2 linked regions of the Lepisosteus oculatus genome follow. The protein of the gene in region 1 interacts with the protein of each later gene in a pairwise test. Links are inferred from orthologs where the notes say so. Each region holds a gene or a part of one and is shown on either strand. Other genes may lie near its edges.

Evidence for each region.
Region 2: the proteins of tarbp2 (region 1) and znf346 interact in binary tests that used the Homo sapiens proteins (3 or more experiments, as listed by UniProt). The two-hybrid records come from large-scale screens. The link is inferred for Lepisosteus oculatus from reciprocal best matches to the Homo sapiens genes TARBP2 and ZNF346.

The regions. Positions count from the first base shown.
Region 1 is NC_090696.1:17,890,328-17,901,273, reverse strand, and holds the start of tarbp2 (RISC-loading complex subunit tarbp2), read right to left. Parts: upstream 4,298-10,946; 5' UTR 4,128-4,297; coding exon 4,075-4,127; intron 3,678-4,074; exon of another isoform or gene 3,579-3,677; intron 2,828-3,578; coding exon 2,658-2,827; intron 1,919-2,657; coding exon 1,816-1,918; intron 1,333-1,815; coding exon 1,263-1,332; intron 794-1,262; coding exon 676-793; intron 1-675. Other genes in the region: pleckstrin homology domain-containing family A member 3-like, read left to right, coding at 4,902-4,950, 6,282-6,398, 7,993-8,148, 8,908-9,044. UniProt on the Homo sapiens protein: Required for formation of the RNA induced silencing complex (RISC). Component of the RISC loading complex (RLC), also known as the micro-RNA (miRNA) loading complex (miRLC), which is composed of DICER1, AGO2 and TARBP2.
Region 2 is NC_090706.1:39,911,579-39,922,898, reverse strand, and holds the start of znf346 (zinc finger protein 346), read left to right. Parts: upstream 1-6,456; 5' UTR 6,457-6,477; coding exon 6,478-6,535; intron 6,536-6,837; exon of another isoform or gene 6,838-6,922; intron 6,923-8,191; coding exon 8,192-8,295; intron 8,296-9,406; coding exon 9,407-9,502; intron 9,503-10,480; coding exon 10,481-10,628; intron 10,629-10,929; coding exon 10,930-11,157; intron 11,158-11,320. Other genes in the region: uimc1 (BRCA1-A complex subunit RAP80), read right to left, coding at 308-382, 1,077-1,201, 2,273-2,342, 3,312-3,422.

The DNA of each region.
Region 1 (10,946 bases):
AGACTCGGTAGAGGGAGGAGGCGTGAGAAGGGATCCCCCCTCCGCTCCAAGAACAAAGAAGTGAAAGAGAGCTGCCACCCCCAGATCTGGGAAAGAACCCTGAACTTCTGAGGTGTTAAAACACGCCAACGTTACAGCTGCGAACAACAATGAATAGGGACATATTTTCAGTTCATACTTTTAGATTCTTAAAAGTATCTAAAAAGCATGTCGCCTTGTGTGTGTGTGTGTGTGTGTTTCATTAAATTTAAAATGAATAAAGGAGCAAAATTTGCCAGGTCTCAAGCATGTTTGCAATGTAAGGGGGTCACTGGACGTTTTGTTGCATCGCACACAATGACAGCGGTATGGCACTACATATACATTGCAACTCCGACTCTAGACTGGAGGTCGTACAGGGTACCGTGTACATCGTAGTGTCACTGTGGTGTGAAATGCACTCATCACTGCCGATTCATTATACAAAGAGCATTTGTTCCCCTTTCATCATAGCTTCAACAGATTGGCCAGGTATGTTTTAAAATGTTAGAGTCAGTGCCTTCACAAATTCCCCACGGCAGAGCTGTTCAGTATCCGCTGTGTGGGTGGGTAGGTGGATCGGTAGATGAGCTCAGGGTCAGCAGGAGAGAGCAGTGGCGTTAGCAGGATGGGGCAGGGGGTCCCCGTTGTTCTTACCGATCTCCACAAACCTCTCCACCCGGCAGGTCATGGTGAATTCCTTCCGGTGCGCCGGGCCGGATTCCTGCGTCACGGTGTACTCCGGCAGCCGCCACCCCTTCTGGACCACCAGCTCCTACAGGAAGGGGGAAGCAGGAACAAGATGGAGGAGTCACAGCATCGCCAGGGCTGGTTTCCGTCTCCAGGGCGCCCCGTGTCAGACGGCATATCGCAAAGCCCAGAACACAGCAAAATACCTCAAGTATACAACATTTTTATTCCATTATTCACTTCCTGAAACCCAAAAGGAAAACAATTCCGTAAAACACTCTGTTCAACACTGTTTCGGTTGGGCAAACACTAGCAAAGAAAGCTGCTCTATCCTTAGGAGACTGCAGCCTGGAGCTCTAAGATCTCTATATAATGTGAATGGGATCCCACATGGGAAAGTTGCTCAGTAACGAATTTTGACTTCCTTTGCCATGGGTGAGGCAGGTAGCCATAGGCCTCCCATTCTCCCTTTCTAAATTCCCCTGTAGTATCCCATTTTAAGGCTGCCAGCCAGAGCAAGCCCTTCTACTGGTGTCCAAGCCAGTTTAGCATACCTGCAAAGCACCCACGGGATTGCACTCTGCCTGCTGCACGGAGTTGGAGACCTTTGCCTCAGACTGGGAGCTGGGATAGGAAGAAACACACCAAGTTCAAGTCAACGAACTGCTCACGATCGCACCCTTCGCTGGGGGCCACCAACCCAGGTCTGAGCCGAAAATAACTACTCAGCCTTTAACTACAGGGGAAAACGGAAAAACACCCTCTTTGTCAACTCCCTGCTATACCAGAGTAGGAGTAGTCCTGGGTCCAAATGCAGGTGTTCAGGCAGATTTAAGATTCGGGATTCACTCCCATTCCATGTTTATGAAGAATGGCACCAGGTCCAAGTACAACTCATGTAAACAGGTGGAAGCCGACAGAGGGACCATAAAAAAGGTGAATCTTGACTAATTGGAGGAGGGTATACTATTTGTAAACACTACCTGAAACCAAGTCTATGGAAATAAAAAGCATGCAAAATCACTGCCTGAAGAAATGATAACAGTGGACATTGCAGACTAAGATGACACTTTTATTATGAGTAACAGAGGCACCGGACACACCCACCTGATTCCATCAGCTGATATCTCCATCATGGTGCCGCCCTTCAGGAGTTTGAGTGCTGCCTCTGCTGCCTTGTGCTTGGCTGCCTTCTTGCTAGGCCCCTGACCTGCAACACAGACCCAGGACAGCTTTCAGCAGGACTTCCCAAGGCGAGTTTCAAGAGCAGCTCTCACAGCTCTCCTTAAATCAGGATCTACAAGCCCTGGCCCTGGACACACCCACCGCTGCTGATTCAAGTTCCAGCTGATCTCTCAAGTCAGGTAATTGAACTCTTAATTTACCTATTAATAGGACTACATTTCAGAGGGGACCTTTAAACCGCTGCATTCAATTAATAAGTTATGATTGCCAACTTTTAGTATACAGAAACGTGCAAAAGTTTGCAAGCAATGTGTTAGGTCAACTAAGTCAAGAGCTTGGCTGGAACCAGCACTGTTATTATATTGATTAGTTTGTAAGATCTTTTAAAATTGCCTGCTAAGTCAGGCCTGTGCAGGAAGGTCTCCTTAATTGAGTCAGTAATTGAGTCAATCCTCCTGGAAAAAAAAGCAAAGTTTAATCCATATCGATAAAATTAAATAAGCTGTTCTTCTGGAATGCCTCTGGCTAAAGGCAAATCCCAAAGGCAGACACAGGCAAAATCTCACCCCCAGTTCCTGCTGGCTCTCTTTTATATCTCAATCTACAGTTTCAAAGTTGAAGTTTGTCTTAAAATTAGGATCACAGATCGTGGATCACGGAGTCCCTGTTTTCTCAGAGGACAGGGCTGCAGTACTGATGACATCGCCCGTCGAAACGCACCAGGGAAATCCGGGCGCAGACTCGCGGCCTGCCCGGCGACCCACCTGTGCAGCTGATGTCACCCACGGTCACGCGGAAGGTGAAGTTGGGCTGGTGTGCTTGTCCCTCAGCCTTGAGCAGATCGTACACCGGGGTCTTCCCTATCCTCGTTCCATACTCCTGCAGCAAACTGATAGGGGTCTTTCCGGGGTTCAAAGCCAGCATTTGCTCAATACTGATGAGGGGGAATGAAACAAAAAAGTCTTGTTTGAAAAGACTAGATCAATACAGGCATTCCTCCTAGTAGACACTCTGACAAATTGAGTGAGGAAACAGCTATTGTATCCTCGGCAACTGGGTTAATTAAGCAACTGATGTTCAGTGAAGTAATTAATTAAAATTAAGTAATTAATACCAATAATGCCTACTTTTTCTAGGATATATGCTAGTACGGGGCTTCCCAATCCTATTCCTGGGATCCCACAGACATATGTTTTTATGGCAGCCGAGATCTTTCATTGAATCAACAAATTGCTTGGTCAGAACCTTTGAAAGTTTCTTCTCAAAGACTGGAGATCCTAGTTACTTAAGAACTACAACCAAGTTAAAAGACAGCCTCCTACATCAGTGTCTGCAAGTGTCTGTTCCAGGTTTCTTTAATGCAGCGGTACTTGAGAAGCTGTTAAACTGATCGAGTTGATCCATGTGTTTATTTACATTGTCAAAAGCTGCCCTCCGGTTCCTGCACCGGACACCCCTGTCCTCCATGTTTAGGAACTGAAAACGATTGAAGAGTTTGAATTCAAACCTATTAAGGGAACAATCGTGTAATTATGCGCTCAGATGGCGCACAAACCAGCGGGGATGTGAATCCCTTAGTACCAGAATTGGGAACACCTGGGCCAACATCCCTAAATTGCCCCCCGCGGATAGATATTGGAGAGGTAGCTGGAGAGATAAAAGAAGGACTCGACAGGGGAAGAAAGCAGAAACAGAGTGATGGGTCAGGATTTCGAGGTGTCGGAATAGCAGCTGACTATCGGTCTCGAGCAGAAATGCATCCGAATTCTCAACATTGTGAAGAAGTGCGTTCAAGGGAGAAACGCGGTCGTTTTATTAAGATGTGTGCGAGCAAACCGGTAACGGTACCCCTTTTAAAGACATATCAGCCGGAGGAAAGAACGAAGAATTTCATAACCCAAATGTTTATTGGGACTGTAACAAAACGCGTAGCAAACGACCGCGTCAAGGTAACGGATAAAAGCAAGTTACTCAGCCATGTTTGCGTTACAATTTAGTGCATAATTTCGTATTAAAAACGAAACAAGCCTTTGTTGTAGAATCCTGTTTTCTGCTAAGGGGGAAATAAGTGGATACTAAACGAATATATTTTAACAGGGAAATCCCACACACCGTTCATTCTTTCGCACGCGAAAGGCACGATTCTCTGCAACTTGCCCCCCGGTAGTGCTCGGGGCTTACCTTGGGCACCCAGAGTTTCTCTTGCAATTAGCCGGGGTTTTCTCGTCGCTCATTCCCCGTTTACGGAACGAAAACGTGATAATTTCGGATTCCGGACACCCCCCTTTGAACAAATTAACCGGTGTTTTTCATTCACAGCCTCTTCAGCAGCAACATACAACCGCTCTTGAGCGCAGCAGCCGGCTCCCATATCCGGGCCTGAGCAGCTGCATTCTGGGAAATGTAGTTTTTTTTCAACAAGGGTAAAAAAAATGCAAAACGTTTACATGCGATAGCGTGTGCCAGTGAGATGCAAACCGGAAGGGAATCTGGAGCTATGCTGTACATATGTGCACGGTCAATTTCAGAGCACGTGCGCGAATCCGTAATTTAGGACTAAGGTAAAATTCCCGTGCGGCATGCAAGCCTCTCTAGATTTGGACGCATGTATTAATTCATGCTCCACGCATCACGTTTCCAAACCTGAAATCATATGTTCAACGTATTTGGGTACATTGGCAATTATCTCAGCGTGTCGGTTGAGGGTGGAATCGAGCGAGCACTTAATACTATCAGTACGTGCCAATAGCGTCTTCTCCCTTGAAGAACCACCCAACTAAAGTTTGTTACTGCTCATCTCAAGAACTGGCTATAACTAAGGACTACAATTCCCAGCAAACCCTACTCGTGTCGCCTCTGAGCTGCGATTGGCTGGTGGGTCTTATTAGTACGTTATTAGTCACCCTAGTCGCTCCGTCGTAGCGGGAGGGGGTGGTGTGAATGAGTTTCGGCCAATCGGCAGCTTTCTGTTCCAGTTTACTCCGTTCTGATTGGGCAAAGCCAGGCCAATGCAGTGTATCGCTCGCACCGGTTCGCTCCTCCGTCGCCGACTGGTCGGTGGGTTTTATCGTTGTCGCCGGGCTATGGAGGGGGTTTTGCACAAGTGGACAAACTACTTATCGGGTGATTCATTATTAATTAATAAGTAGCTCGAAACCGCTCGAAAAAGTATTAAATCTTAGCGTGCTGTCTTATTAGTGAAAGACTGTCAGGTGAAGGCGAGTCTTGAGGCGATGCTGTCAGTCTTAACAAGTTTTGTCGGTTCATTCGGCCAAAAGCATCTTTGTAAACGTAGCATAGCTGTTCGGTAGCAGACTGAATTTAACATTCATGTGCGTGCGCACTTGTGAGCCGTACTAAAACTCTTAGATATTTTTACATCGTTTTCTGGTTTAGGTTTTGTTTCGCTTATTTCAAATGTCTGCGCATTCTAACTTCAGCTGTAACAAAGTTATAGTTAACGGCGAACTTCTTTTTGTTTTTTTGTTTTCCGTGAACATAACGTATAACGGCCATCCACTTCATGGAGGCTTCGATCGAGTCATATTTCCAAGCCACTGAGTCGCACCTTCACTGTATTTCAGAGGAATCTCCTAATTTTTTCATCTAGCTTCCTTCTGGATGCGTCACGGGTTTGTGAAGGGGGAAGAAAAGTTTAATCTCTCCTGCGTTAAACCGAAGCGTTTTAAATGTAAAAAAAAAACTAACACGAGCGTTGAATTTGTTTTACTTATGCTTTCTTTTAAAAAATGACGCTTTTAAGTTTTTTTTCCTCCCTTTTTAGTGCGTAAAAGTGCTTGATTTGTTGTTTTTAAAGAGCTCTTTGATATCAGCTTCTCAGTACAGTAGATACAGTATCCGTACGCCGGTGAGCTACTGCTTCACACTTGGAAAATTTGAAGGTTGACTGTTATTGGTCAGTGCTTTAACTTAGACTTGGTTAAACTGGAAAGGGTTCGCGTTTGTGTTGCAGAACGGGGAAAAAAACAACCTCCACTTAACTGTAAGTGATCATGACCTTCATGACAGTTGCTGCTGCTCAATAAGTTGCTTCCCCAGGTTGTAGTGAACGGCTAGCGGGTCGTCTCGTCGGCACAACGCTACGGGACCTGGGTAGCTTTCAGAGCCGGAGTGTGTCCCAGCTCCTCTCGTGTTGCTTCTAATAGTCGTTCAAAATAATTCAGCTGGAGGTTCGGTTATTAAAACCCATCGGACTAGTAACTGTAGAACAAGTGGCCTCCATCAGTGTCCCACCCACCTCTCTCATGTCATGTTAATTCTGATGTCTTTGATCTTTATCCCGAGTTCAATATCTGCTGTGGTCCAGAGTCTGGCCCCGTTTCTCAATCCCAATCCTTTTCTCCCTCTCTTGCCTCTGCGGGGTGAAGGGTGGCAGCCCCGCTACTTCGTCCTGGACGGGACAATCCTGTCCTACTACGACTCCCTGGAGGACGTGGGGAAGGGCAGCAAGGGGAGCATCAAGATGGCGGTGTGTGAGATTAAAGGTAGGTGGCGCTGCCGCACCCTTCTTGATGGACACACCGTGGGCCACTTTCCCTTGCGGGAAGAGCATTGTTTCGAGATGGGGGGGATCGGATCTGCTCGACCTTGTGACCCCTGGCTGGGCCCACGATTCCTTTCTCAAAGCTCCCTTTCCTTCGTGGTTTGCTGGACTCATAAGAAAGGGTTTAATATGACTGGCAGGGCATTGGCTGCTGGTGGCCTACTGCTGCTTTTTTATTGCTTGCCTCTGTGGCTGCAGGTAAACCATAAAGGTAGCATTTTAGCACGTGGGTCTGCTACAGCAGATAAGAATTGATCGGCAGTACAGTAATGTGCAGACCTGCAGCCCTTTGGTGGTGATGGTGCTGTTCACAAGCAGAGAAAATGTCTTGAAATATCCATAGCGTTACTGATTCATTTAATAATAATTCCTTGCGCTTATGGAATGCTTTTTGGACACTCCACTCGAGGTGCTTTTTAGGCAATAGGGACTCCCCTCCGACACCACTAATGTTCAGCATCCACCTGGATGATGTGTCAGTACTCTCACTGCACATCAGCTATCAGTGGGGAGGAGAACAGAGCGATGAAGGCAGTTCAGAGATGGGGATTATTGGGAGGCCATGATTGGTGAAGGCCAAGGAGAAATTTTGGCCAGGGCACTGGGGTAAAACCCCTACTCTTTTCAAGATGTGCTCTGGGATTTTTAATGACCACAGAGTGTACATACCTTGGATCTATGTCTCATATGAAGTTTACAGTATAGTCTCCCCATCACTGCACTGGGGCATTAGGACCCATATAGACTGTAGGGTGTTCGCCCTCTACTGGTTTTACTAACACATCTGATCAGCTGATGTGTGGTGAGCGTTCTGGCGCACTATGGCTGCCGTCCCATCATCCAGGTGGGGCTGCACATTGGTTGTGGTGTAGGGGAGTCCCCATTACCTGTAAAGCGCTTTGACTGGAGTGTCCAGAAAAGTGCTTTATAAGTGTAAGCTATTATTATTATTATTATTATTATTATTATTATTATTATTATTATTATTGCAGCAACCTTAGCTTTCCCAGGAGGTCTCCCATCCAGGTACTGAAGAGGCTCGAACCTGCTGAGCTCCAGTGGGCTGCCAGTTGTGGGGTGATAGAGCTGCTGGCTACATTCAGGCTACAACAAAATGCTTGCAGAAAATGCTCTGAAAGTTAGGAAGAGCAAGGCGATTGGATCATAGAACTGGAGGGATAGCTCAATATATTGCATGGCTTTTTCTTATCGACCCCCTCCAGCCCCCTCCCTGGTTTTCAGTGTACTTGATTGTTAGCAAAGAAGGGGATCTTGTAGAGGGCTTACATTGCCAGTGGCTTCACACTAGTGCAGGAGGCTTACTTATGGACCAATTGAGTCTTTATTAAGTGAATTTAACCCTTCTGTCGCTGCTGAGGTGAGGAGACCTGCAAGTGCTGCTGAACTGCCCCCGGCGACCCTCTAGGAGCAGAGCTGATCATGTAGGAGTCAGGCGCAGGTCTCTGCCAGCGTTTCTGCCAATAGCTTCAGGACGTGGCTGCGATTTAAGGCCAGGGTCCCGTGTTTCTCTCCAGTGCACCCGACGGACGGCACGCGGGTGGACCTGGTGATCCCCGGGGAGCAGTGCTTCTATCTGCGGGCCCTGACAGCGGGCGAGAGGCAGAGGTGGCTGGTCGCCCTTGGCACCGCCAAGGCCTGCCTGGCGGACAGCCGGACAAAGAAGGAGAAAGGCAAGGTCACGGGGGAACCGCAGCCCGGTGGCGCAGCCCGGGGTATTCGAGCGCCACAGCCGAGGGAGTCGGGCAGAGCTCGGCCACCTGCACTCTTCCTTTCAGCTCCAGCGCAAGTCTGTGTCTCAGCTCCTCCGTAATTATTACAGCGACCTTCTGCACTTGGGTAAATTAACCAGTCAATGGGCTGGAAATACCAAAATCCTGTATTGTGGACTGAGTTAGGCGATGGGATGCTTTGTGATGGGGCACACAGAGCTGAGATGGGTCAGAAGAATAGTCAGAGAGGCCATTTGCCCCATCTAGCTCAGCTGCATACCTTTCCCATTCGGAACATTTCCCCAGGGATCTCATCCAGCTGTCTCTTGAATAAAGAGCCAGGGTATGTCCTTGTCAGTGTGGCTGGCCAGCTTTTGGCCTGCTGTGCAAAGGAAAACCTCCTGCTCTTGGTTTTAAATGTGCTTCCTTACATACTGTACACTAGTGTGCACTGGTGTCCGGTGCCTAATCCGCAATGGCTCATTATCAGAGGTGCCAGGCCAGGAGTGAGGCCTCCGATCGGAGCTGATGAGCTTGTGGGAAGCCGCGTGGGGGGACGGCTTCGTCTCTGGGAGGAGAAAAGATATCTGTGGGGAGGCAGTATTGGTTGTGCCAGTGGGATACAGGGAGGCGGTGTGGAGGGCCGCCAACTTCACAGCAGGAGGCAGTGGGCTCCTCTGAGCCGCGTGTGAAGCCTGAGTCAGTGTCTTCCCTGCGCAGAGCTGAACGAGGCCAGCCAGAGCTTGAAGGGGAAGATGTCCGAGCTGCGGCTGTACTGTGATCTGCTGATGGAGCAGGTCCACAAGATCGAGCACTCTGTCCAGCCTGGGGAGGGAGGCACGCTGCCAGACACACAGGTATCTTGCCAGCGCCACTCGCCCTTCCCAATTTGCCTTGCATTGCTTTATAACCCAGGAGTGGCGCTGTCTTTAAAAAGCCCAGCTGCTGATCAGCAATGACCTGATGATAAGAGCTCTAGTAGCACCTACTACTGATCCGTGCCAGAGGAAAGACTCATGGCGTGGATTCAGTTTAAGAAAGCTCTGCCACAAATTGTAGAACAAGTTGAAAGTGGGGGGAAAAAACCTGAAAAGCAAATTGATTGCCGCTGTGTTTTTGTCTTTATCTAACTCCATGTTGCTCACTATCAAAACCACAAAAACAAATCCCCATGTTAGGTTTAAGTCAGGGGCAGGGAGAAGAGACGGGGCTCTCGCAGTCTGATGGTATTGACCCGTGAGTCTCGGCTCTGGCCAGGACTCTGTGATGAGGGGAGTGGCATTGCTCAACAGCCTGGCCAGTCCTGGAGGGGCCAGGAGGCTTCTGCTTTTCTTTCCACTTCAGAACTTGATCAACTCATTGAACCGATTTGCTGCACTGGACCGAAGTTGTTCAGACACTGGAGATTTAAAGACACCAGCAAAACCTGTTGGACTGCAGCCCCTGAGGAGCCGAGTCGAGCTGCTCTTTAAGGAAGGAAGGCGTGACAGGCAACAGGGTCTCTTTTAATAAGTATTTTTGTTTTAAACCAACAAAAACATTCTGCGTCCGATACCCATTAAAGTAATGTTACAGAACACGTACATTTCAGGTGTGTTGTGTTACCTGTGAAGGATGAAAAGGTAAAATGCAAAACTTGCAATCCCCTTCCAGGTCCCTCATCAATGTCCCCTCAAAAAAAAAAAAGAAGTCAAACTAGGGGAAGGAAAGTTAATTTTGCTAAAACGGTGGCACTGTGGCTAAGGATCTGCGCCTGTGGCTCGAAGGTTGCCGGTTCAAATCCCGCAGCCGGCAGAGGAATCCTACTCTGCTGGGCCCCTGAGCAAGGCCCTTAACCCCAACTGTTCCAGGGGTGCTGTACAATGGCTGACCCTGCACTCTGACCCCAAGCTTCTCTGTGTCTCAGGGAGAGCAAGCTGGGGCATGCGAAAAGACAAATTCCTAATGCAAGAAATAGTATATTCTTGTTTATAATATGCCAATATTCGAATGTGGCTAATAAAGTGATCTTATCTAAGGCTCTAGAAAGCATAAAGAAGAGTGGCAGGCCAGTCCTATCAGCTCTACCGGGCCACTCCTGTGTACCACTGAGGGCGAGCCTGGGAGAGAGGGGGAGGACAATGGCTGTGATATCAGCTTGCGTTAGATAATGGAGCTGTGAGCCAGCACCATGTCACCCCTCTGACATTCCTGAAGAAGGAGACGACTTTCTTCGACCCCCTTCCTTTCTCGCGCCGCGATTGTGGCATTGTTTTGTAGAGGCGTCATGTGGTTTCGCATTTCCCTCTCTCTCGTAAAGGCACTTAAATGTTTTTCCTCAGCTGGGCCGAGGCCATCATGAAAAGAATAGTTCTGTGGAACTTGATAGGCCCTGGGTAAATACTGTAACTGACAGCGCAGGCCTCCGGGCGTCCTGTGGCAGGACTTGGGCACGCACACTGCTGTGGCTGGGCTTGGGCGGACACAACGAAAGTCACTCCTTGTTCCCACATGCAGTGACACTCTCTGTTAAGTGGGTGGGGGTCCTGCACTGCTTATATGGGAAGGCCTGTCAAGTTGATTAACGCTAAAGGACATTGATCTAAAGGAAATGTACAAATATATGCTAACATGGGTCTCTGTTCTTTCTTTCTATGTAGTTTGTGTGTGTGTCCAATGGCCAAAATATTAGGAACCCACAGTCGAACAAGGGACTGGTCTTCGGCAGAAAGAACTGGTGTGTGTCGGAAAGGAATCCGATAACCTGTAGCTCAGTCTAC
Region 2 (11,320 bases), on another chromosome or scaffold:
TTTCCCAGACTGGGAGCACAAGCTTCCACCTCGGACACTGAAGTGACCTTTCGGGGACCGCAGGGCTCCAGGTCAAAGGAGGAGGAGGTCCAGAAGCTTGGCTAGGTGTTGGCATTACCGGGAAGCGTTGAGAGAAGATGACACACCCTGACTCCTGGCAACTATGCAACACATCTGGGCTCAGTTTCTTCAGGAGGAGGACAGGAGTTCGACCCAAAGTGCTCTTTCCCGAGCGGAACCCAGGATCTGACTGGCTCTCACTCCTGCGACAGGGCTCATGACGGGAGTTCTCTTTCCTTTTACTTACTGTTTTCTGGGCAGCAAACTCTTCTCGCTCTTCAAACGAGCTGGTCTGGTCGGGATCATCACATCTGCTGCTTTCCTGAAATACCAGAAACGTTAACTCATTAAAACATAAACAAATCGCAGACAGATTTATGTGCATCCTAATACTTTATTTGATTACACTGTTAGAAATTAGTGAAATAAACTGCGTCGCCAATGCCCTCAACTTTACAAAAAATCTAAACTCATGTTTAGAGGGAACATAAAGCACCTGTGAAAACAAAAGCACTACGTACTGTACATAATTTGCAACAGGCTGCTGGAAGTTTTAATTGAATCTACAGCTAAACAAAACTAGTGAATGAGAGTGGCACACGTGCTTGTGATAGTGTCAGGGTAGAGGTATACAGGATTAATAGATCAGACCCTGAATACAGCATAGTGTATTTCCCCTCTGTAGTCTGAAGACTACAATTCCCAGAAGGTGCTGGGGCTCAGAACAGAGTTTATGATTAGAAACACGTTACCTACTAGTAATTCTAGTCGTACTTAAAGGGAAGGGCTGCACTACGAGAGCGAGACTGCGAGAAGTCTTTGCATGAGTACAGACCTACGTATTGGACAAAACCCTCGAGAAAAGGACGTTTCTGTATGGAATTTCCCACCACCCCCCCACACACACACACACATCCAGCAGCATGAAGGAAATCCCTGAGCTTTGGCTTCTCCCCACGCGTCACACTTCCATTCAGCATGCACGGGACAGCTCTTAGAATAAACACATGAAGTACATGTAGACTCTCCACTATTGCCCTCCTCACGGCTTCGTCCTCCTCCTTGTCCCGCTGCTTGGTCCGCCTGGCTTCCTGTTCGCTCATTCGCATGGCCAGGCTCACCATTTCGTCTTCTGTCATCTCTGAAGAACAAGAGCATCTCCATGACTCAAGGGACAGGCCTGTCTCCCCGTTAGGTTGCTAAGCGGCCTAGTACAGGGTTTGGGTAGGAGGAGGGAGGGACAAAGTACGACTCTCAAGGTCATTTTCCATGTCCCACAGAAAGAAAGGCCCCCCTCGCTAACTTTCCTCTTTTGGTGGCACGACTAATTTTTATTGTTTAAAGTACACTGTACCTCCCCTTAGAAGGCAATTAACAATCATAATATCTTCACCGTTAAGAAGTCCGAAACTGTTAATTAATCATGGATATAGTATCGTATTTTCTACATTACTAACCATTACCGTGCCTTCTGTCACAAAAAAATATCATTGAGATGCCTTGTCCAGCAACTCTCCATGAGACACAGACAGGGAGAGAAGCTGGGGGTCAGAGCGCAGGGTCAGTCATTTATAAAGCGCCCCTGGAGCAGTTGGGGTTAAGGGCCTTGCTCAGGGGCCCAACGGAGTAGGATTCCTCTGCCGGCTGCGGGAAACAAACCTGCACAAATCTCAATTGTTAAGGCAACCTTTCAGAATGAAAACAATTAAACAGTTCAAATTAAGGTAAGTTATGGGTCCAACCTACAGGTTCAGGACTGAGAGCACCTGACCTAGACAAAATGACTAAACATCACCCAACACCTTCTGCACACAAGGGGGTCGTGCAGAAGCCTGTCATACGTACATGAAATGCACTGGAGCCCGTGGGGAAGAGCACTACTCCTGCTTTAGGAGGCACTTAATGTGACAGAATAATAATAATAACAATAATAACAACAACAACAACAACAACAACTATTTATAGAGCACATTTCATACAAATAGCAGATCAAAGTGCTTTACAAACCAAGCGTAAAAATAAAATCTTAAAAATAAGAGATATACTTTCAGTTGTAAAGGAAAACAGTAATACAGTAAAGCAACATTAATGTCAATTTATGCTTGAAAATTACATAAATAAAAATTAGGAAAGTCATAATAAAATAAGACCAATAAAAGATAAATAGAAAAGAAAGATAAATAGAAAGAACACTTAATAATTAAAAACCTACCTCGAGCCTGTCCGCTCTGCTGTCGTGCCTGCAGCCTGTCTTCCCTTGACAGGAGAACGTCATGCTGTTTCTGTAGGTAAGGACACAAAGGTGCAGCACATTTCATCACCAAAGCTGCTGTTTCAAACTACAAGAGATCACTGCATCGTAAACATACGAAAAGTGGCAAACGAAAGGAGGCCATCAGGTCCACTTGGCTTGTTCGATGTTTTAATCGATGACTGAATTTAAAATCTTTATCGGGCAATTTGTTGTACACCAGAATTTTGACCTCAACTAACCGACTGTTCCAGACACTCCTTGTATATAAAGGTGCATTTCCCATCCGCCGACCTGAATCAATTTTAGGACAGAGAAAAAGCTTCCAGTTGTGACACCACATTCTTATTTCACTTCCGATCCTGATATAGTCCTCTGCTTTTACTTATTTGAACTTCAGATACTTGATCCAAACCTCCTCTTAATCTCCTTTGCTCTAGAACAGGGGTGGTTAACTAAATTCCTGGAGGATGCAATGTCTTCTGCTTTATTCTTCTTCTCCATCAGAAGCTCACACCCCTGTTCTAGACTCAAGAGATCTACAGTAGTTCCTTTAACCTGTCCATATGTAACAGTCCCAGAAATCAGGATTGGTAAGGGCTGATCTTCTTTGGAACTTATCTAAGAGAAGAATGCACTTTTAGTGGCATGGGGCGGAAAACCCTATACAAGTCGAAAACAGAATGGGGTAAAAAACTAAATAAAGGCATGCAGAGCTCCTATGCGTTTCAGTTCCCGACAACACTTAAAAAATTGCGCCCAGAGCGGACAGCCGGAACTCAACCCGTAGACTCGCTCATCTCGCTCGATTCCTCAGTATCCTCGCCCGAACATGCGTGGGTATAGCCTAGTCACCTGGGTCTTTGGTATGCCCCTTTAGACTTTTTCCTCCCCCCAATAAGAAGGGCAATACTGAATAAAAAAAATAAACTGAAGACGTCTCAAAGCCGCGTCTGCTAGCTATGATGAAACACTTTGAAGGACAAGGACCAGCACAAACCTCGCTTTCTGCGTCAGACACAACAACAAACTCGCCATTGTTTTCAGCGAGATGTCTCTTCTTGGGCACTTGGTCCGCTTCCCTCGCACGAATTCGCCTTTTCTGCGGCATACCGTCAGCATACTACATACAACCCTGGCTTTTACAGTATGGAAACAATAGCCGAATAGGCTGGAATAACGATCTGTGCGGTTCCCACTGAGAGATGAAAACCTCAGTATGGCTGCTCAGCCTTGGTTGCTTGGCGCACTGGTGGGTGCCACTTATTAGTCAGCTCGCAAAATACGAATTATTGCAGTTGCACTGACAGCAGACCTCTTACTGTAAGACGACTCGCAAAGGTCGCCATATTTCCCTCGCTCACGTGATCTCCCAGCCGCAAAGAATGCTGGGTGCATTCTCGTTTGCAACTGTTCAGTAATGCAAACCAAGAGCAGGTGTTAATGTTTACGCTTAAGTAATTTTGGCATGCATAAATATCAACACATTGTATTGATTCACTCAACATATTGAATTAGTTGTTTTGGAGCTCGTTATTCCAGTCTGTAAAAACTCGCTGAAAATCTGAAAGCTATCAAAACAAAATTCAGAACATGATTTCTAAGAATGGTACTAAGCGCTCTCGTTTGCTTTTGTTGTATTTTAAGAAACATTTCTCCGGTTTATGAATACATTGACCGAATATTAACTTGTGATGTGAGGAAATCTAGAACACAACAATGTTTTATTGCTAATTTATTAATATTGAAATTTGGGAGAGTAATCTTATTTGCAATCACAAGGGATAAATCTCATATGTCTTGGGCTTTAAAGGATATGGCGTCTCCAACAAAGATAATCTTCGCCACGAATTACTCCATTTGATGGTTTGTCCATACAAAAGACATTCTTTTTGCTCTTTCGACTTTATTTTGAATACAGGAGTGAGACAGGATACACACTGGGCAAACACACAAACACTCTCAGCAGGGCCAGTTTTACAGAAGTCAGGTGTCCTACCGACTTTAACGGAAGAACTTGGTGGGACACAGACTGCACCACCAGACACGGGAGAGAACTGGGACACCGGGGGGGAGTCCACCATCGTCTTCCTCCCCTCCTACCCTAGAGTGGACTTGGGGAAAATAAGGAACAGCAGGGACAGAAGAGGTAGCTGAAACCTGTAACCCCTGAAAGGCTGCAGAGAGCTCTTCGCTGTGGTGCAGTGAGGCACACCGGGACATCGCTGCTAATCTGGGACACTGGGTTTTGGGTAACCGGCGTCCACGAGGGTTTGTGTGTTCTGTGAGGGTGTGTGGCCCTTGGGGATCCATTTATCATGTGTGTTCTTATGATCAGATAGAAGTTACCACTCTTGACTGTAGGTGTAAGCAGAATAAATACTACGATTATGTTTAAAACAAGTGTGTCTTTGAGCTGTGGGTGGAAACCACAAACAAACTCCATGCAGGTAGCAGTGTCTAAAAAAAATGCGGTTTGGGGAAGCAGCTCCTCATGAACTTTTACCGCAGCACAACAGAACGTGTCCTCACTAGGGGCATCACCGTGCAGTACGGCACTACTACCATGCGTGACAGAGACGCACTACAAAGGGTTGTGGCAACGGCCCAGAGGATTATAGGATGTGATGGGCCATCAATCGGTGAGATCCACACCGCCCGCTGTCGCTGTAAAGCCTGTCCGTCATACAGGATCCCAGCCATAAGCTGGTCTCCCCCCGCGGTACCGCACTGCAAAAGAACTGACCCTTAGACTCAAGAACAGCTTCAACCCTGCTGCAGCGAGCATCATGAACCGCTAACTGTGCATTGTCTCAGAGGATAGGGCACCCCTGCCCTCTGCACTCCTGTCTTGAACTACCATGTATTTGTGTTCACTACCGCCTATTTCTTGTTCTCTACTGTGTATTTATTGTGCTGGTCCGTTTGTTGACTGTACATACCATCACTGTTTGTTACGTACTGTCTACACTGTGTGGTGCTGTACTGTACCCGTCCCGAGAGATCAGTGTGAATAAGAATCCCACTGTTCATGTACATACAGTATGGCAATAAACTCCCCTGCTCTATTCACCCCAGGAATTGAACCCAGTGTCCCATCGCCGCAAACCAACAATACTAACCCCTGTGCCACACCCGAGCCACCGTTAACTATAAATAAAAACCCATACATGATTTCTTTAGAAAAGCACCAATTTAAAAGGAAACACATATTCGTTCATGTGAACGTTTCATAATTCAGTTTAATGCTACAGAAAAGAGTGGAACCAAAATGGGAAATATCAGGTGAGCCTGGCAGATATATTTTGCCCGCTTCATTTTGTGACCGCTGTGTTGTTACCCCCCCAAAAAAACCAAACTATCACGGCTGATATGAAAGACACCGTCTTCTGTAGGACACGGAAGTTTAATTGACATAAAACACGTAAGAATACTGGACAGGCTCACCTGAAGCAGCCTGGACTGGCCAGCTCGAAGGCGCTCAGTACGCCTGGCCAGTACTGGGAGGGGGGTCGCCGAGGAAGAACCAGGTCTGGGTTATAAGCTTTATCCCCCCGTCTGAGGGGGGCTCCTCGCCTCAGAGGTGTCATCCTTAGGACGGGGTGTTAAAATTAAGATCCCCAACTACGTCCTTCGGCTGAACTCATTTCTCATTCCTCCACCACACCATACCAGGCGGGGCTGACTTCAGTAAGGGCTGGAACTGGGTTCCCCCCTTTCTAGAAAGAGTTCTAGGATCTTTTGGGATTAAAAGTACTATGTAAATGGAAGGCATTTTACCCGGGTGCAGTTAACCTGAAGAAAACCAAGCATGTTTATCGGGATGTTTTGTTCAGAATAGTGCACTACACCGGTTTTCTCGTCTTTATTAATTCTTTCATACTTCTTTTCTTAAGAGGAGCTCAAAAAAGTCCCTCGACAATGTATGTAATGATGGATAAGTTTATTACTGTTTGCAAGAGGTCAAAACGCAGTACAGAAGTCAGAACGCACTGGGGGGGGTGAGTTCCGTGCGATTCAAAATATCAAGACGTTATTTGAACAGACCTGTTACACTTAAGGGGATATAAAGAGTCCCCCCCCCACATTTAAACCGGTAGCACACAGCGCCCCCCACCGACCGGAGAGCAGAGACCTCAGGCTGCAGCTCGGCGGCTCTGGGAAACATGGCGGACGGAGAGCGGAACGGGGATTTACCCGCTGTGCCGTCGGGGCTGGAGGAGGGTAAGCGCCTTCACCCGAGGACCCGGAGTCGAGCGGAGTGTCGCAGATATCGGGGGGACTTGTGCGAAGCTGGTTTCCCCTCTAGAGGCGGAGGAGTCGGACACAAGCGGGGAGCTCAGCGGCTGACTGCCTTGGAAATAAGTGCTCCGAGATGGAAGCTGTAAAAAATAAATAAATGCATCATTCGAGGTCGAGGAAGCGAGGCAGAAAACAGTTAATGCTGTCCGCGGAGAGGGTATATAAAGTGTGCACGGAAATTCCCGATCAAATGCCTTCTGCTACCTCCGCAGTCTCGGCGAGATGTTTTACGTTACTGTCAACATGGAAACCGAGCTGCGGGTCTTCACTCTTAAAATGCCTCAGTGGACGCCAATAACATCGCTCCCGGTGAATGAAAACTTTTTTTCGGAGTAAATGCCCTTCCGCCTAGATACTATATGCTCAGCCAGGGCCATTCCGGGAAGCTGCTACGCTCTCCAGAACCCTGTTTTTATCCAGACAGGTTTATAGGTCACCTTCTTAACAAAGGTTGGCTGCACCTCTGTGTTATTAGCGTATTAACTCTAATAAAGGATGAAGGATGAAGAAAGAGATCTTAGATTTGGGTCCCAGATCAATGTCTAAAGTACTCCATTTAACTAATCACCCACTTAACTGATCACAATGAAATCATATCCTTTCTTCACATTTCGGGGTGACCTACATTGGGGATGTCCTGGTCTGTGGCTTGAGACCCCCTGTTCTAGAGATCTAATTAAATATTTCCCATGTTGCAAAAAGGAGGTTTGTGTCATTCCGAAGGTCAAGAGTAGAAATCGTTTTGCTAGATGGGGGTGTTCAGTCTTTGTGACCAAAGTCCTTCCTCTGGCTAATTCTTAATTCATTAATTGACCTTCAGCATCTGGACTAATTAAGCAGTTAAGGGTCCTTTCAGTGCTGCACCTACTGGAAGTTCAAAAGTGCTGTAATGACCTGGAATCAGGGGTCAAGGCTGAGATCCCTGTGCTAGCGACAGATTTTCACTCCTAAATACACCTGAATCTTGCAGCTGTTTGTTGGCAGAAAAAGTCACTCTGCATTAGTTCAGTCCAGTTTTGTTCAGTTCAGTTTATTTGTCATATGCACAAGTGCAATGAAATGCTTATTTGCACCTGTTCTCCAATACAAAGACATTAAAGGAATCGCCAAAAACATAAACACAGAACAGCAGCAGCAGCAACAAGTTAAATAACATACAGCTTAAAAAAAAAAGATGGACAAGCAAGTTTGAGGAAAAAAAACATCAGTGTGCTGATTACTGAGCTCTGCCTAACTCTCGGTAGATAGTCCAGCTACAGTACATTCTAATGTCAGAAATATCAAGTATTGGCACTGCCTGAACTGTGCCTGGATTAATGACATTGCAGAGATTTCTGCATTTGGGATCCAGCTGCTTGTAAGTGCTTTCAGTGGTTTTTTTCTGCTTTATCATGTAATCGACATATTGTGTTGATTTTATTGAACCGTACATCACCCGGGATAAGAGCACCTGCTAGGAAGATAATGTGTGTTGACGGGAATGTATAGTTTCCAGTGTACATTGGATAAAGCTAACTTTTGCTTCAGTGCATGCCCCAGAACTAGTGTTAATAGTGCCCCGTTTGTGTTCTTCAACAGTGAACAAGATGATCAGCGAACACAGTCACCTCTTCTCTGACACGCAGTGCAAAGTGTGCAGCGCCCTTCTCATCTCCGAATCACAAAAGCTTGCCCATTACCAGGTGGGTAGATTACTTGGCTGTTGTTTTCTGTGTTGTGTCTCTGCGCTGCACACTTTGTCCGGACGGCCCCCTCTGGCATGTGGGAGAGCGCAGCCTTGAGACAGACTTAATGCAATACCAGTGTATTTGTGTAGATTGCCATCACATCCTAGCATGCTACATAAACAACACGTAAGCAGGCGGTAAGCTGTACTGTACAAAACACTAACCACGAAGTGGAGCAACTACGGCTGCTGAGGAGGGCAGCTGGTATTTATATGAAGGATATGGATATCTCAACATTTGCAAGGGTTCAGTGTAGAGAACCATTGCAAAGAGCCAAGCCCACCTCTGAACGTTCGCATATTTAAGTCAATTACCATAATGAACAGAAACAACAGTCCAAATTTCAAACGTACAGTAATTAGCTAAAATAAATAACCTGAATCCCTCCTCTGCGTCTGGCCTGCAAATGATCTCTGCCTTCCCAGTTCCATGATTAGCACATCGCACTGTAATGAAAAGGGCAGTAAAACTGTCAGTGGGCCTGTAAAGTCGTCTCCAGACGGTCGTTCCACACACTGCTGACACAGAACCAGGAGCGTTCATTACAGTTTAAAAACCAGGCCACCCTGAGATGTGGATGCTGGATAGGGGGTACTTGGGCAGGGGGCAGAGAGAAGATGGAAAAAAATTGCACAAGTGGATTAAGAAGACTGGTGCAGAAATTTAGATGTCGATCTGGATCTGATGGCAGTTGCAGCACTATATATTATATTATCCCTCTCCTCTTGCAGTCATGCGCTTATTGACAAGTGTTACAGTGCTCTCTCTGATAAAAGGGTGTTCAATACAAAATGTGAGGCAGCACTGTGCTTATTAAATACTCCCGCTGAGCAATGCAGTACATGGTCTAGTATATGGATCATCTCTGCCTCTTTGGTTCTGTAGACCATCTGTGTGGCATTATCAACCGCTCTGTGCATAGCCTTCATCCAGGGACTGGACCAGTGTAAAGGTTCCCAGCTCTGGGAGACATTCAGATCAGGAATTCAGTGCTGTTTTATTCTTCATTCTGGATTGCTGCTGATGTTTAATAGTTAAATGTTGTTGTTTTTTTTCACTTTTACAGAGTAAAAAACATGCAAATAAAGTACGCCGATACATGAGTATCCACCAGGATGAGGAACCATCGTTGAAAAGGTTCAAAGGCCACTCATCTGACAACGTAAGCATGAAGCAGTGTTTCTTTGAAGAGCAGGATAACAACAATAAGTTCATGAGCCCTGATCAGGGGAGCAGGCAGGGGTGGTTTAAAATGGCACATTAAAGTCAAGCTGAATAGTAAGCACCAAAACAGTGGTTCAATCTTAAGCAAATTTTAACCTCACTGAAATAAAATAGTGTCATTGGGGTTTACTTATTTTTGTTGGCCTCCGGTGTTGGAGTACCTCCTGTTTGTGTAATGTGGTGAGTCTCTTGTCCTTGCTGCCATTGTAAATCAGTTAGTTATATGAGTAATTCTGTTACATAACGGATAGCAAGTGAGTTTCTGAATGTTTTTGTTCCAAATGAGTACTCAGATGAACTTTCTTTTTTGCTTCGGAGAGAACGTGAGTGTTTAATCTGTTCCCCATTTCATAACAAGACTGCTCATTTGGCAATACAAGAAGAAATTGTGAGAAGTCTCCTTGCACTAGAGCTGGGAACGCACTGCAGTCATGTGTTTTGCAAGTAAAAATGTTTTCTATGAACAAATTAATCCCCTGGTCCATCCCCTGCACATTTCTACTCAAGGCACCCAGAAATGAAGTAAACGACTACAGTGGAGCCCCCACGAAACAGGGCCGTGGCCGTGTTAGTAGCAGCAGTGCCAGACTCCTCTGTCCCCTGTTGGCAGCGTGGAGCACGGCGAGTCCAGGCTGAGGATCCAGGGACAGCAGGAGAGGCGCCCAATGAAGCGTCAACATTAAAGAAGCAGCCAGGCCAGCTGGCCAGATCGTTTCTACAACCTGGGCTTTCAGCGGGTGGGAGTCATCAACCAACAGGAGCATGAGCGATCTTCCCTGTTCAAGTTAAGGAACGGGGAAGAGACTTTTCCTCAGACAGGCTGCTTTCATCCCATCTTCTCACAGGCTGGGACTTAGGTCAGGGGAGGCTCCTTCGCTCCATTCATTGACTTTAGTGTTTCCTGTTCCTTCCTCAGGCAGGCAGCAACGGGGTGGTGGATCGCAACAAGGCGTGCTCCATCTGCAACATGACGTTCTCGTCGCCCGTCATGGCCGAGTCCCACTACCAGGGCAAGGTGCACGCCAAAACCCTGAAGCTGAAGACTCAGGGCTTCCAGGCTGCAGGTAAGACAGCCAGCTCCTGTTGTCTGCCGCCGACAGCCTGAGCTGGTGGGGCGGCCTTGTCTTGTCCCGGAGGGGTCCTGACTCTCCATGGTCATTAGAAATCCCCGGGCGCATCTCGGAAAGAGCAGGGGGTGCTAACCTTGGTGTCCTGGCCAGGTTCCCCCCTGGCTTTCACCCGTCATGGTCAAGGGGAGGTGATGTGATGTAGAGTAGGAAGCGAAAGGCCTGCTCGCGCGTCGCTGTCGGGCTCTGAGGTCTCATCCCCCGGGCTTTTTTGACGGAGGCTACAACTCCTGCACAGCCTCCTCCCCGCCGCCGGCCGGGACCCAGGCCAGGAACCCCCCGGGGGGGCAGAGCGCAGAGGGGACTCAGGGGTCTGCCGAGGGGGACCCCGACCGCTTCTGCGTCATCTGCCACGCCTGCTTCAACAACCCACTCATGGCCAGGCAGCACTACGTGGGCAAGAAGCACAAGAAGCAGACGACCAAGATGAAGTTGCTGCAGACCTACGGCCCCTCCAGCACGCCAGGTGAGCTTCCAGCCTCATAGAGAGACAAGAGCTGGGAAAACGCACAGTCCCTTCTCACCTCTCTCTCCCACACACACACACACACACACACACACACACTTCTCCCCTGCACTGGCTCTTAACTCCGTCCTCAAAGTCCTGTGGCCTCTCCTGACTGTCAGTG